Linked DNA regions of Rhinolophus ferrumequinum. The main gene of each other region encodes a partner of the protein of the gene in region 2 in a complex. Links are inferred from orthologs where the notes say so. Each region holds a gene or a part of one and is shown on either strand. Other genes may lie near its edges. The genes, in order: LATS2 and NF2.

What was found.
Region 1: the proteins of NF2 (region 2) and LATS2 are in contact, whole or in part, in a crystal structure (PDB 4ZRI), measured with the Homo sapiens proteins. The link is inferred for Rhinolophus ferrumequinum from reciprocal best matches to the Homo sapiens genes NF2 and LATS2. Residues at the interface, in NP_000259.1 of Homo sapiens: Pro135, Glu136, Ala137, Val139, Leu140, Tyr144, Asn175, Leu176, Tyr177, Gln178, Met179, Trp184, Arg187, Trp191, Glu206, Lys209, Ile210; in NP_055387.2 of Homo sapiens: Tyr73, Ala76, Leu77, Glu79, Ile80, Arg81, Ser83, Leu84, Leu85, Phe87, Ala88, Asn89.

The regions. Positions count from the first base shown.
Region 1 is NC_046287.1:104,818,606-104,826,521, forward strand, and holds the start of LATS2 (serine/threonine-protein kinase LATS2), read right to left. Parts: upstream 3,147-7,916; 5' UTR 3,052-3,146; intron 1-3,051. Other genes in the region: histone deacetylase complex subunit SAP18, read left to right, coding at 3,269-3,397, 3,543-3,652. UniProt on the Homo sapiens protein: Negative regulator of YAP1 in the Hippo signaling pathway that plays a pivotal role in organ size control and tumor suppression by restricting proliferation and promoting apoptosis.
Region 2 is NC_046308.1:18,945,234-18,952,869, forward strand, and holds the start of NF2 (merlin), read left to right. Parts: upstream 1-4,364; 5' UTR 4,365-4,880; coding exon 4,881-4,994; intron 4,995-7,636. UniProt on the Homo sapiens protein: Probable regulator of the Hippo/SWH (Sav/Wts/Hpo) signaling pathway, a signaling pathway that plays a pivotal role in tumor suppression by restricting proliferation and promoting apoptosis.

The DNA.
Region 1 (7,916 bases), on a different chromosome or scaffold from region 2:
ATTAACCAGCTAGCAAGCTGGTTAATTTGCTAACGTTTAAATGTAAGATCTCTCTAACTTCAAAGACTAAACTTTTTAACCACTGATTAAGCCTTTGAGTCACCCTCTGCAACTTGCTTCTGGTAAGTACATATGTTGTTGACACTGCAGACTCTTGAGGAAGAGAATGTTCGTTTAAAAACCATTTCAATATAATCATTCAAATGCTTAAAATAGGGGGTAAAGTGAGAGATTCAACTCCATGACAAGCAAATGCAACCCCCATTCTGTTCCACTGGCTTAAAATGTACTGGTAAGGAGATGGCTCTCAGAACCACCGAGAACTGTAATTCTCCTTTGTAAATTCTATAAAGAGAAAGGATGCATATACTTAAATTTTACAGTTTGTGCTCAGTGCTGGACCTAGAAAGCCAAGTAGGTAGACTGAGGGATGCTGAAAGTCAGCCTGAATTGTTCTGATATACAGCTGCAGTTGCACTGTCACAGGCATCAGGACTCCCATTTTGATGAGAGCCTCATTCAGAAAGGTCCATTATAAAAGCTTACATCTAAGCGACTAAACCTCCCAGTCACCACTAAGAGGTCATGAGGTTCATTTTCAGTTTCAATGTTTCCCTTTAGTTTATTGGTTAGAGTGCCCTCATGTGTCTGTATTTTTATACTATGGAGGTTTTGAAAAAGGTTTAATATTAGAATCATAGAACTTGAAGGAAATTTAATCTTTTGTAAAAAACTGGATATTGACTGCATGTAAGGTCCTATCCCTAAATAATAGTTAAAAATTTTTAACAGTGATCTAAATCACACGAGTATCTAAAATGTACAGCTACAATGTAAAAATGAAAAACCACCCCCACCCCTAGTGAGAAAGAGCACATTTCTAGTATTTTAGAAGCTCCCAGGATGCCCTTCATAAATTGGGTCATCCAGCTTACTCTCAGAGATAACACTATCCTGAATTTAGTTTTAATCATCCCAGTTCTTTTCTTTATAGTTTTACCATGTGGTGTTTGTTTCCCTAAACAGTACTTTTTGTGTGGGGGTGGGGGGAGACAGGGAATATTTTCCTAATTTTGAACTCTGCATAAATTGAATCCCATTGCGTTTTTCTGACTTGCTTTTTTAATTCTACTTTTAAAAGAGCATATTCATTCATTCATTTACTTTCAACTTTATGTATTCCATTTTACCAATATACTCTTGGTAGACATTCAAATTGTTTCTAAAAGTTTGACTATGTGTAACAATTTCTCTGGGGCATAGCATAGAAGTGGAATAGCTGGGTCTTCACGTGTACTCATATCCAGTCTTTCTAGATAACATCAATTTTTCCAAAGTAGATCAGAGTAGCCCATAAAAACTCCCTTTTCTCCATCTCCTTCATAGCACTTGGTTGTCAGATTTCCATCTTGGCCAATCTAGTTGTGAAATGTTATCTCATTGTGATTTAAATGTGCGTTTTTCTATGATTATTCATGAGGTTGGGCATTTTTTCATGTTTACATGCAATTTGTGTTTTCTTTGAAAGGCCTATATGCCCTTTGCCCATTTTCTATTGGATTGTCTTTTTCTTACTGACTTATAGGCATTTTTTTTCCTTTGGTGGGGTATTTTTTAAAATAGCATGATACAGCATTCATGCAGAAGAATGCATAAAACATAAATGTACTGTTTAAAGAACAATTTAAAATCAAACGGTGTAATCACCACCTCAATAAAAAAAAAAAACACCTTTGCCCCTCCATGGTCACAATCCATTTTTTTCTCAGAGTTAACGACCATTCTGACTTTTGTGGTAATGACTTCATTGCTTTTCTTTTTATAGTTTTATCACCTGGAAATGAATCCTGAACAATATGGCATTGCATGCTTTTGAATGTTGTAAGAATGGGTTCACATAGTATACATTCTTTTGTCTTCGGCTTCTTACACCTACCATTATGCTTGTGAAATTCATGATGTTTCACACAGTTGGTTTCATGTGGCTGTAGTTTGTTCATTTTTGTTGCTGTATAGATACCACAATTCATTGAACTACTGTAATGCTAATGGACACTTGGGATGTTTCCACTCTTTTTTCTTATGAACAATACTGCCAAGAACATTCTTATGTCTCCGGATACAGCTGAGCAAGGCTGTCTCTAGGGTATATACCAAGGAGTGGTATTGTTAGATCTAAAGTATACGTATCTTCAATTTTACTAAATAATCCTAAACTACTTCCCAAAGTGGTATATATACCATTTGAGAATTCCCATTAGTCTACCAACAACTGTCAGAATTCCAATTTTTACCCAGAGGTACGTGTAGTTTAAAACCAATCAATTAAAGCCGATCACTGTGGTTTTAATGCATTTCCTGACTAGTAATGAGCTTCAGCACCTTATGTTTATTGGCCATGTGGATTTCTCCATTTTCAAATCAATGATTTTACCCATTTTTCTATTGGAATTCTTCTTTAGTTCTTTCATATCCCGGACCCTAGCTCTTGTCAATCACATGCACCCCTGATACCTTCTTCCACTCTGTGATTTATGCTTCTCTTTCTTTATGATGTATGCTGAAGGTTAGGATTTGTTGTTTTTTTTTCTATTTTAATCTAGCAAACTTTGTCAACCTTTTATGGTTAGTGCTTTTTGTATCACATATCCCTATCCATTGGTCATGAAGACGGTCTACTATGTTATTTCCAGAAAGTGCGAGTTTTGCTGTTCACACTTAGGTCTTTGACCGCTCCCGAAATTCTGTGTAGGGGTGGGGTGGGAGGAGTCCTTTCTTCCCTCAGTCCAGGTCACTCACTGTTCCCTCTGTTTTGCAGTGCCTCCCTAGTCTTAACTCAGGGACCACGTTCGGGCCCTTTTACCACGTGTTACCCTACCTCTATCAAAAAAGAGCTCGACAGTTTGCTAATAAAGGCATGTTTTTGCTTACTCACAACAGGACCTCCTGTACTGTTCTTAGGCGTTTTGCGTTAAGGTTTCCATAATTTCGTGCGAATACGCCCTCGTGAGCTTATTTGGCCTGTGAACATTTCAGGGAATGCATAAATACCTTGGCCAACAAGGTCCGGCGACGTCCCTCAGAAGTTCCGCTGCGGGGACGCCAGCGCCCGCCTCTTCCCGAACAACACAACGCGCAGGCGCGGCCTGTCTGGGTTAGTGCACCGCGCAACAAAATGCGCTTGCGCCGCGGAAGGCCCCGCCCCACCCTCACCCCGCCCTGTCTGCTATAAAGCCTCGAGCTTCTCCTCGCGAGACACTTCGTTCTCATGCTAGCTGCCGGGGTCGGAGGTCAGAGCGAGCGTCTCGCGGGCCACAGGAGGAAGATGGCGGTGGAGTCGCGCGTCACCCAGGAGGAAATTAAGAAGGAGCCGGAGAAGCCGATCGACCGGGAGAAGGTGAGGCGTCCGGACGAGGTGCCAGTGGGCTGGCGGGGTGGAGAGCGGGGCCTGCGCGCAGGGGGCGGCTCGGAGGCCGCGGCGCCTGCGGGAGGCTGGCCGCGCCGCTTCAGCTTGTTCCCTTGCCTTTACTCCTGTCCCCCAGACGTGCCCGCTGCTGCTGCGCGTCTTCACCACCAACAACGGCCGCCATCACCGCATGGACGAGTTCTCCCGAGGGAACGTGCCATCCAGCGAGCTGCAGATCTACACCTGGTGAGTGGGCCGCGGGACGAGCGGGCACCGGCGAGTCCCCTGGGCCGGTGGGGAGCAGCCCCCACTTGAGCCTGCGGGCGCCACTCTCACAGAGTTAGTTTCGGCTGTTAAGTGAAAAGATCGGTCCGACCCGTCTTGTAAGCTTCTGCGTCTAATGGTGAACCTTTGGCGTTGTGGAGTTATGGCTGCTTGGTAGAGCAATGGCACGCAGATCGTTAAAATGCGGCAGCCGCCCATAAGGGGCTGCCGGTCGAATACATGGTACTACAGTCACGGGGAAGGGTCAGCCATGCTGTCGAGTGATGTGTGTTGTCCTCGAGGAGCACTTCCAGGTGATATTGAGCCTTACTGCCGTAGCATCAAATATCAGCAAAACCGGGGTGGTTTCTGATCTGATGCATAATAGAAAAGATTTTGATGTGTGCTCAGTGAAGACCTGCCCCTGAATGTGTATCTCTTGTGTGTACCTTACCTACCCCGAGTCTGACTAGGAACGTTATACACAGCAAGCAGCATGTACGTGTAATTCCTTCGTTTGATTGACATCATAATGGTTTTTTAGTAGCAGTACGAAAGGTATACTTTTTTAAAATTTGTCTTTTGTGTGTGTGTATTACATTTGCCATTTTAACTGTTTTTAAGGATACAATTCAGTGGCATTAAGTATATTCACATTGTGCACCATTACTGTTAATCTATTCCCACAACTTTTTCATTCCCTCGCAACAGAAATTCTATACCAGTCCGGGTATATCCAGGGTAATCTACTTTGTCTCTGAATTTATCTACTTTAGACACTTCATATAAGTGGACTTACACAATATTTGTTCTTTTGTCTAGTTTATTTCACTTAGCATAAGTTTTAAAGCTTCATTCATGGTGTCACATACAACAATTCTTTTTTATGGCTAAAATTTCACTGTATGGATATACTACATTTTGTTGGTCCATCTATTGATAGGCATTGTGGGGTTGTTTGTACATTTCAGCCAGTGAATAATGCTGCTGTAAACATGGGAGTACAAATCTCTTTCAGCCTGCTTTCAGTTCTTTGGGTTCTATACCCAGAAGTGGGATACAGTTGGTTCTATACTCAGAAGTAGGATTGCAGGATCATGTGCTCATTCTATGTTTAACTTTTTGAGGAACCGCCAAACTGTTTTTCACACAGTATTTTACGTTCCTCTAAAGGTGTGTAATTTTAAACTGTAAGCCCAATATACTAGAACTCAGCTCTTTAAAGATTTGGACCTTATTTGTCTTTTTGAAGGGGCTTGTTAAGTTTATGTAGTAGTATGAGTCCAGTTCAGTATATCATCCCAGAATAAAGCCAGAGAAGGTTGATTTCAGTTAGAGGGAGGAACTGTTATTACTGGGTTGATGAAAACCTCTGTTCAAAGATTAAAGTGTATATTTTCTCCAACAAATAAGATTTTGTTTGCCAGGTGCTGTACTTAGACCCTCAGGGCATAAAGGAAAGATGGTGCTGACGCTCCCTACAGTGAGCTCAGTCCAGCGAGAAAGCACTCTAACAAATGCTAAGGAAGACTAGGGTGAAGATGGCAGGGTGAGATTGTTCAATAGATCCTCTACTCCCGATCAAGATTAGAAAAATTCCTGTCCTAAACAAACAAGGAAAGAACCTTATACTATACCTCCAAAAAAACAGATTCTGAAAGACTGGATGGTTGGTGTGGAGGTAGCGCAGAGACCTGTCCCTCTCCCAGAAGCAGGAATGAGGGAGGTTGGTTAACAAATCTTAGGAATTCTCAATTTTTGGAACTGGACCGAGAAGCTAATGTACACAGCCCTAAGAAGTCAAGGAAAAGGCAGTGGGAGTCCAGAGGAGCCCAGCAGAAACCAGTTGAGTTTGCAAAAGTTCAGGGCATTGCGTGGGGCTGGGAACAAGACAGATACACCAGAGTGATACGTGTCCTGTGATTAGGTGGTCATTAAACAGGTTACTGGAAGAAAATCATGTAGGCCACTGTATCAGGGTTCACCCAGGAAAACAGAACCATCAGCAGTTTTAAGAGATTTATATAACAAAGAATTGGCTTATACAGTTGGGGGGGCTGCCCGGCGACCTGAATTCCTCATCTGTAGGGCAGTCTATCAGGAAGGGCACTGCTTGAAATCTGGGTCCACAGCCGGCTACGGCCCTCAACTGATTGGATCAGGCCTACTGGATTATCTAGGATGATCTCTAAAGTCCAACTGATGGGACTTGAATCCCACCTACCAAATAGGATGCTCCTTGACTTACCATGGATGGGGTTATGTCCCGATAAACCCATGCTAAGTTGGAAATATCGTAAGTCGGAAATGCATTTACTACTACGCTGTAGAGTATTCGTTGTTTACTCTTCACCTGAGTGCTCAAGCTGTGGACTAGTCAGAAAGTGCACTTGGCAGTCCAGCTGCTCTAGGTGACAGCCCTCAGCAGGCAGGCGGGGGCTCATGGAGGAGGACTATTCACTGAGAGGTGTGAACCAGCTCCCCATGTTCGTCCTGAGCAAGATGAAAATCTGGAAAACGTTTGTAGAAAGGAAGAGAATCCTTTTTGGTACACACAAGTACATTCTGTATATCAGGAATAATTGATTACAATAAACAGCAGAATATCGGGTTAAAGAAAGTCACTCGGGCCTCAAGTTTCAGGCCAACATTGGAGATCACTGGGGACAAAGTAAAAATAAGCTACAAAAGGACAGGGTTGAGAGGAAGAGTAACATCGTTACGAAGTTTTACAATTCCTTCAATTTGACTTTAGTTTTTCCTTCTGTTAATTTCAAGTTTTCTTAAAAATATGTGTAATATTTGAAGCAGTTTTTTTTGTATTGTCTCAGCATATATAACACGCTTGATGATCAATTTCTGTAGCACTGTGCATGTGCACAGAAAGATGCCAGAAGTGGTGTAACGTCACTGGTTACTGCTGGGTGGTGAGGTGTGGGATATAATTTACTGCATTCCTGCAGATGGCTTTCCCCTCTTTCAATAATGAACATGTGTCATGTTGGGAAAGGCAGTCTTGCACAGCTTCTCGCCTATCACAGGGCCACAGTGGCCTTGGGCCTGGGTCATTTCCTTGTAAAGAGGTAAGGGCCCTCGCCGCCTGTGCTGAGCTTTGCTCTGTCCCTGTCCTGGGCTTGATGTTCTTTGTGCTGCTCAAGCATCATGTGGCCCCTTCCCTGCTCATGAGAGGGACATGCAAGACCGTCTGATGGGCTGCAGGTGAGAGCTGTAGGCAGTGGGGGGACCAGCAGTAACGTCTGAAGCTTGTCTTGCTGTTCCTTCTCAAAGTGTTGTCCGTGTCGTTCTTGGCAATCCCAACACTGCAAACCCTGGAGTGGGGTGACATCCTGGGTGCTGCTCCTGGCGGCACATGCTGTCGTGCTCTTTGCTGTCCTCCAACAGTGGGACTCCTCCCCGTAGGTGGGAAGGGGTAAACAGAGGAATTAAATAATGAGAGATTGAAACAGCACCAGTGGTGGGCATGGAGAAAAATGATTTGATCTGTATTGAGCAGGTGGAAACAGCAGGGTAACGATGGGGAGAGGGGAGCAGTGCTTAGCTTTAGGGCTGGCAATTGAGAGGGCATCGGTTGTTCTCATGGTAACGAGAGGAGCGGCTTGTTTCCAGAGCACCTCCTTGTTTCCAGAGCACCTCCGAGCTGGTGGGAGCCTCCATGGAAAGATTCGATTTGGAGTTTTTTACTCAGTGTGAAGCCGAGGCTTGTAAATAGAGTGTTAAAACTAAATGGCCTTGGGCGTTTGACCCCCTGCCTGGTGCTGTGTTTCAGAGTTCTTAATTCTTCATCAGTGCCTGGTGTCCTTGTGTCATCTTATGGGCCCTACAGGCTATGCTGTTTCAAGTTTTAGGTCATCTGTTTCATCTTCCCAGTTGCCATGAAAGAAATACAGAAATTTATACTGGTTTGTTACTGTTTCCAAGATGCTTGTATTTTTAATAGATTTTTCCACATTTGTGCCACATTAGCTCAAAGGATTATATTAATTTCTGAGATCAAATAAATATTTGCAGGGCAAAAATATACATTGTGAAAGGAGCATGTGCTTAGTCTTGAAACTTTCATGTTTCATTGGCTTTTTAGGATTCCATCTTAGAAAGGAGAAGCTGCACATCTGTATGAAAGAGCTTGCCTATCACATGCATTCTACGATGCATTGCGATTTCACAGATGCTGAAATGTGGAAAAGTATGTGTCTTAGAAATAATGAAATACGACTGTTTTAAGTAT
Region 2 (7,636 bases):
CCGATATTCATTAGAAGTGTCAAGGTGAAAAATAAGGAAAGACTGAAGATTTATTACAGACTGCAGAAGACTAAAGAGAAAGAACCCAATGTTATGTGGGAACCCTGACAGGATCTTGGAACAGAAAAGGACAGTAGTGGAAACACTGGTGAAATTTCAATAAGGGCTTTACTTTAGCTAATAGTTGTGTATCAATGTTAATTTCTTGATTCTGATAATTCTGTTATGATTAAGTAAGATGTTAACATTTGGGGAAGCTGAGTGAAGGATATAGAGAAACTACTATTTCTGCAAACTTTAAGTCTGATATTAGTTCAAAATAAAAGTTTAAAAATTATACATATGTAAGAAATACTTTGTTATATAAAGTATTGATCTAAGTAAAACAAATAAACAAAAAAGCCTTTAAGTAAGGGGTCCATAAGTATATAAAAAGAAATACAGCTAGTGCAACAAATAAACAGTAAGTGAGTGGGGGGAAAGTTATTACAAAGTGAGGAATAAGGGCAGGAAAAATAAGATGAAGCCAAAGATAAAGCAAAAGCAAGTAAAATTGCCAGAGGCTGAATTCAAATTTGGTTCTGGGCTTTCTAACAGAAAACTCCAAGAAGGCAACAAGATTGGTTATATGGTTTACAGCATGTTAAGAGAGAGAGAAAAAAACAAACCCAAACATTTACATGAGAGCCCATGCAGCCCTGAGAAAATTATATTATAGAATATTTAATGATATGGAAAAATATTCATAACATATTAATGAATGAAAAGTTAGCAAATCACAAAACAATATGTACTATATAAAAGCAGTGGGCCTGTGGATGATGAAAATTAAAATTGTTTTTTCTTTCTGCTTGTACAGGTTTCTATTGCTATGTAACAAATTATCACAATTTCAGTGGTAATTACATTTATCTCATGGGTCTAGAATCAGTCTGGAATCCAGGGTCTGGATTCCAGGGATGGCCTAGCATTATCTTCTGCTCAGGGTTTCAAAGGACTGAAGTCAAGGTATCCACCATACCACAGTTCTCATTGGAAGCTCAGGAAACTTTTCCTAGCTCATTCAGGTTATTGGCAGAATCCAGCTGCTTGTGGTAGTAGGATTGAAGTCTGTTTTCTTGCTGTCAGATGCGGACTACTCTTTGCTCCCAGAGGCTACCCAGAGTTCCTTGCTATGTGGCCTCATAGGCAGTTCACAACAAGGACGTTTGCTTTCTTCTAAGCCAGCAGGAGCTCATCTCTCTGACTCTCTCCACCTCTGTGTTCTTGTTCCCCTTTTAAGATTCACCTGATTAGGTCAGTCCCACTCATGATAATCTCCCTTTTGATGAATAAAACGGATTAGGGATTACATTTGCCTAAATTCCTTTTGCCATACAAAGTAACATAGTCACAGAATAATATCCCATCATATCCATAGGTCTTGCTCACACCCAAAGGGAAGAATTATACAAGGCTGTGGACATTGGGGGACATTTTAGAATTATGCCTACCACACTGCTGGTTTTCGATTTCTTTTTTTATAATACATATGGATTACTTGTAAAATAAGGAAAAACACAATAAAAAGTTATTTAGAAAATAAAAAGCAAACCAGTCTCGCATGAGTGCTGGAGTATGAGATTTCTCTCGTGGGTCTCCATAGAAAAGATACTGTGTGAAGCTTTGCCAGCTAAATATCTACTATAAAGATAGTCAGAGTTCCTCGAGGCCATTCCTTATAACATCCTCAGTACAGGACAATGGCTTCGTGCCAACATGCAGTAAAGTAATTCCGCAAGTGGCCAAAAATGACAGAGTACAGTTTTTGGCAGAGTTATCACAATCTAGAATTCACATGTGTGTCTAGGATAAGTTGATTTAATCAGTGGGATGAGTTGATTTAATCTGGAGTTCATAGATGTGCTTTGGACAAGTCTTTCCATGTACCTCCTAAAACCATATGGAAAATTTTGTGCATGTATGCATTCTTTTGAAGAGTGGGTTTGCTGGTTTCATCAGATTCTCTTATAGAGTATTTTCGACTCAAAAAATTTAAAGAAATTTATTTATCTTGGAATTATGGATACGTTGGGCTGGATAATTCTTTGTTGTGGGAGGTTGTCCTATGCATTGTGAGAGGTTTAATAGCATCCTTAGGCTTTACCCATAGAAGACAGGAGCACCCCTTAGTTGTGACAACCAATAAAATCTCGAGACATTGCCATATATCTGCTGGAGAGAAGTGACCTAACTTTGAAAACCTCTGATCTTCTGAAGAATGGACGAACAAAATATAAGTCAGGTGAGATCTGGATTAAAACAGTCCTGGATGAAAATTACATCTCTACCAGTCATGATCTTGGGTAAAATACCTGATTTCAGCCTTAGCTAATTTCCTCATGTGTAAACTAGGGATATAATATTTACCAAATAGGATTTTGATAAAGATCCAAGGAAATAAAGCATGCAAAACACTTTGCAGAGGGCTTCATATGGCAAGCACTTAATATATGGTAGCTATTAATATTCTTCCCATAATTGAGACCGTGAGTACTTATTCATTCAACAGATATTTATTACCTGGTGTCTATGTGCCAGATCTTTTTTAATGAGTTCTACCTGAACCATTCCTTCTCAAATCCTTACCTTGTAGGTATTATTACCATCTGTGTTTATTCTTTATGAATGGCAATTTTAATGCCAGCATACTATTCCATCACGTCTATTTTTATTCCTGGCATTGGCCTCCCTTGGGACATCCAGAGCTATGTATCTACCTGGATGTTTCCCTAGGAACATTTAAATTTGGCATGTTTGACCAATTAGCCCAGAGCCTAACACCTAGTAAGCCTTCCATAAAAACAAGCTATTATTGGCCATCAGTGTCTTTTTAGCCCCTGATTTCTGATCCACCTCCACTTGCTACTCCTCAGTGGGTTCCCAGATCACTTGGGTATTTTCTGTCAGCAGTCTTGGCCCTGGGTTAAAGAAAGCCCTGATTTATGTCCTGATGGGGACATCAGGAGAATCCAACCTGGTTCTCCCACCCCCCGGGGAAGAACTGAAGCAATGAAAATGAAGACACTTCTCCTCCCTCCCCCATCAGTTTGGTGGGGAGAATTTGCTAGCAGTAGACAGGACATAATGTTCCCCCACAGCAGCCTCTCTGAGTGTGCCAACAGATGATGTCTGGGGCCTGGCTGGTGCTTCATGGCACTGCAGGGGCCCATGAGGAAGAGCTCGATTTATGCTACTAGTTATCATTTTAGCAACAGTGTCTGCTGAGTCCTCCAGAACTGTAGTTCTTGGGGCTACACCAGGGAGCAATTTGGCAAACACAACCAGAGAAACAGGCAGTGCAGTGGTAATACTGGCAGGCTTTGGATGGGATAGACCTGGGTTCCAGTCCCAGCTTCACCTTTCGCTATCTGGTTGATAGCCAGCTAGTGGTTCTGTCATGTTGAGCCTGCTTCCTCCTCTGTAGAGAAGAGGTGATGGTTAACATTTATGGAGTGCTTACCGTTGAATTAAAACACAGGACATTGTCTCCTTTCAACACTTACGAGGTATTTAAAAATAGGATTTATTTTTTAAATACAGCAAGTTTTACTTCCTCGCCTCATATACACTCGTTATAAGCTTTGATGACATTTAAAAAATAAATAATACACGTATATGGTTCGAAACAGAAATCAGAGTACAAAGTGAGAAATGCTTTCGTTTTGACCATTTTGTATCTACAAAAACAGCAATTTCCTAGGATTCAATCTAGTATGTGCCAGCCACCGTTCTAAAACTTTATGTTAACTCGCTTAAATTCCTCAAAACCTCCATGAAGTAGGTACAATTATCCCCTCCTCGGTAATAATGAATACTTCTAAAGAGAAGCAGAAGGATCTGTGGGAGAGTGCCGGGAACCTAGGCGGCCTCCACAAGTAATTTAAAAGTTTTGAGAAACATAGGTCAGTATATGTAATTACTAAGTGCTAAACAGGATTATCCGCCGGGTGTCCGAAACACGATGCCTTGGGGCGTCATACTCGGCGCGTACTTGATCTGAAGGGCAGTCCTTTACTGGACCTGGGAGAAACCCGACTCCCGTACCCTGGGGCCAGCCTCAACGTGGTTTCCCAGGAAAGGCGCGCCGGGATCCGCCGCCTCAACCAGTCTTGTTAGAGTAGGCGTACCCCTTGCTAACAAAGCGATCGGAGCGACGGCGTCTATAGCCAGTCAACTCCGAACCCAGGCCCACGCCTCCAGTTGGAGCGGAACTTCCAATTGGTGGAGTCCTTGTGAGGAAGGCGGGACGGAGAGTGAAAGTCCCGCCTTCTTCGGAGTTTTAAGCCAATTGCTGCGTCTAAGGGGTGGTCGCCTGTTAGGTTGAGCTGTGAGTTGTGATCTCGGGGGCCTGAGGGCGGGGCAGGGAGCAGGCCGGGGGCTGCGGGGAGGGGACACTTCCCGCGGGCGCGCGGAGCGAGGACGGTGACAGCCACGCGCGCACGTGCGCGCCTGGCTGCGGCGCGGCCCCGAGACCTCCGTCAGCCGCTGAGAGGCGCGCGGGATCTGGGCCGCTGCCGTCTAGGGGCCCCGTCCCCGGGTGACCCCAGCGTCCTCGGCTCGAGTCCCGGAGCTCCGGGCCGAGTCCGCCCCGTCGGTCCTCGCTCGCGTTCCCTTCCTACGGCCGTAAGGGCTCGCCCCGCAACTCCACCTTTCCGCTCCCGGGGCAGGGTCCTCGCGGCCCATGCTGGCCGCTTGGGGCCCGCGCGGCTCAGACAGCTCCCAGGCTGGCCACCCGGCCACCATGGTGGCCCTGAGGCCTGTGCAGCTCCTCCAGGGGGGCTAACAGTCCCAAAGCGCAGGTCTCGGGACGCGAGGGTCCCGGGCCTGAGCCCCGCACCATGGCCGGGGCCATCGCTTCCCGCATGAGCTTCAGCTCGCTCAAGAGGAAGCAGCCCAAGACGTTCACCGTGCGGATCGTCACCATGGACGCCGAGATGGAGTTCAATTGCGAGGTAACCAACTGGCAGCCCGAATGGGCTGCTGTGAGCGGAGCCTGGCGGAATCTCTGCTCTCCTGGCCCTCGTGCGGGTTTGGCACTTATCGGGGCGCCCCTGTCGCGGTGACAGTCGAGGTGGAGACTTGAGGGATTCTGCTTATATCATCTCTGGGCATAGATAGGGATGGCTAGAACCGGAAGGAACCATCTAGGCCCAAATCCTCATATTAAAGATAAATTGCTGCCCTTTTCAGTAGGGCTTTGGGTTTGGAAGCACTTCCTTCGTGTTTTCATTCATTGTTACTGCTAAAGGCTGGAAGCATCTGTGGTAGCAAATTCTAGTTTTCAGTGTCAGGCTTAGGCTCCAGCGCTACAGAGTTTTTACTCCATTAGACAATATTATGTACACCAGGTATTAAAAAGCATCTTGTGTTATTGGGAAGTCTATACTTGTTTCCTTTTTCCAAAACTTAAATTTTCTGGAAAAAAACTTTGAGGAAAGAGGTGGTGTCTTACATTTTCCATAGTTTCTATCATGATGATAACAGTTACTATTTGTTGAATACTTTCTAAGTGCCGGACATTCATACATTTAATTCTTACAACAACCCAATGAGATACATACCCCAAATCATATATATAGTAAATGGCGAAGTGGGGTTTTGAATCAAGCTCTTAGCCCATACAGTACTGCCTTCTCAAGTAATTTAAGCTCTTGCTATTCAAAGTGTGGTCTGTGGACCAGCAGTATTGGCAGCAGTGACCTAAGTCAGGGATTGGCAAACTTTTTCTGTCAAGGGCCACATAGTAAATATTTTCAGCTTTGAAGGCTATAAGGTCTCAGTTGCAACTACTTAACTCTTCAGATGTACTATTGTAGCACCATTGTAGCCCAAAAGCCACTGTAGACAGGATTAACTTCTAGCATGACTTCCAGTGTGAAGAGCTCCACTGACATGGTTCTTTATAAAACTGGTAAAAATTATTTAAAAAAAAATTCAAATCCTCTAGGAATGGTCCTAAAGGCAAACATTAAGTGAAGAAACATCTATTCAAGAAAATACATAAAAATTTGGTAAGGAAGGCAAGGGTTTGTGGCATTTGAACCAAGACCACTACCACCCTCCCTGTTCCCAGCTCAGCAAGGCAGAGATTCTGCTTCGGACTGCTGCAACTCAAAACACAGGGCTCCCTCTCCCCTAGCTCCTAGTCAGAAGGCTGTCTTCCTAAGAGGAGCAGAACTTCAGTGCTTCTCAGCTGCCCAAGGTTATTTGTTGCTGAAACTGAGTGGAGTTGAAAGATGGGAGCTTCTTTCTTCCACCCAGCTCCTACTTGTGGAATGGAGGCTGTGCCCTGGGTGTGGCACACTGAAAATACTAGGCCCCATTTACTCTTGGCCCACGCTCAGCCTGGGAGAAGGTGGTTCCAGCCCAGAGAGGCAAACTGAGAAGACCTCAGGGTGGTATGTCCTCCCTCCCCACTTCCACCAAGGGCTCAGAAATTTTGCCAGGAGGGAGAAGCAGCCTTAAAAACCTTAGCTACTAATCTCTTTCCAAAGGTTGGAACTTCATTGGCTACATATTATGGAGAAGTTTATGCCTAAGGGTACTCAAGAACAGTGGAGGTCTTGGTGAAAGGCAATTGGTAGGGGATTTGTGGATTGAATGAAGATGCGACCTAGATTGTAGGCCAGCTTGTTTGCAGGAGAGAATGGGGCAATAAGATAGCTAGGGAAAAGCCCTGCTGGGGTCAGAACAAATATCAAACATGGATCTCAGGAACTGTTCCCTCAAAAGAGACACCTTTTGATTGGATTACTGTAGAGCAAGTTATGCCCCTGAGCATTGTTGAAAATAATAGAACAATATACCACAATTAGTGGAGTTTAACAGCTGGGTACGATTAGGGAAAGAGAGCCCTACTAAAACCTATGGTCATAAGCAAAGATGGCCTTCCTGAGGACAAACATCATAGGCCTTAACACTGTGAGGGAAATAGATTTCAGCCAGTCTTTAAATAAATAAGCAAATAACAATAACAAGCCCAGAAGAGGGGGCACCAGTTCCCAGGATTGCTATATTATCTAAAATGTCTAGTTTCCAACAAAACATTATGAGGTATGCAAAGAAACAGGGAAATATGACCCATACAATTGATAAAGGCTAGCAACAGAAATTGCTTGTGAGAGCGACCAGATGTCAGATTTAATGAAAAGGTTTCAAAGTAGCCATTATAAATATGTTCACAGAACTAAAGGAAAGCATGATTAAGGAAGTTAAGGAAGGGATAATGATATTTTTGTATCAGATAGAGAATATAAATAGAGAGAGATGAATTATTAAAAAGAACCAAATTAAAACTCTGGAGTTGGAAAGTACTGTGACTGAAATAAAAAATTCAGAGGGGCTCAAAGTAGATTCGAACTGGCAGAAGAAAGCATTTGCATACTTGAAGATAGATTGGTAGAGATTATACAAGCTGAAAAGTAGAGAGGAAAAAAAATGAAGAAAAATGTACAGAGCTGCAGAAAAATGTGATAGGTGCAGCAACATGCACAGTGGTAATACCAGAAGGAGAGGAGAGGGAAAAAATATTTTTAAAATAATGACTGAAACTCTCTAAATTTATTGAAAAACAATAGCCTAAACATTCAGGAAG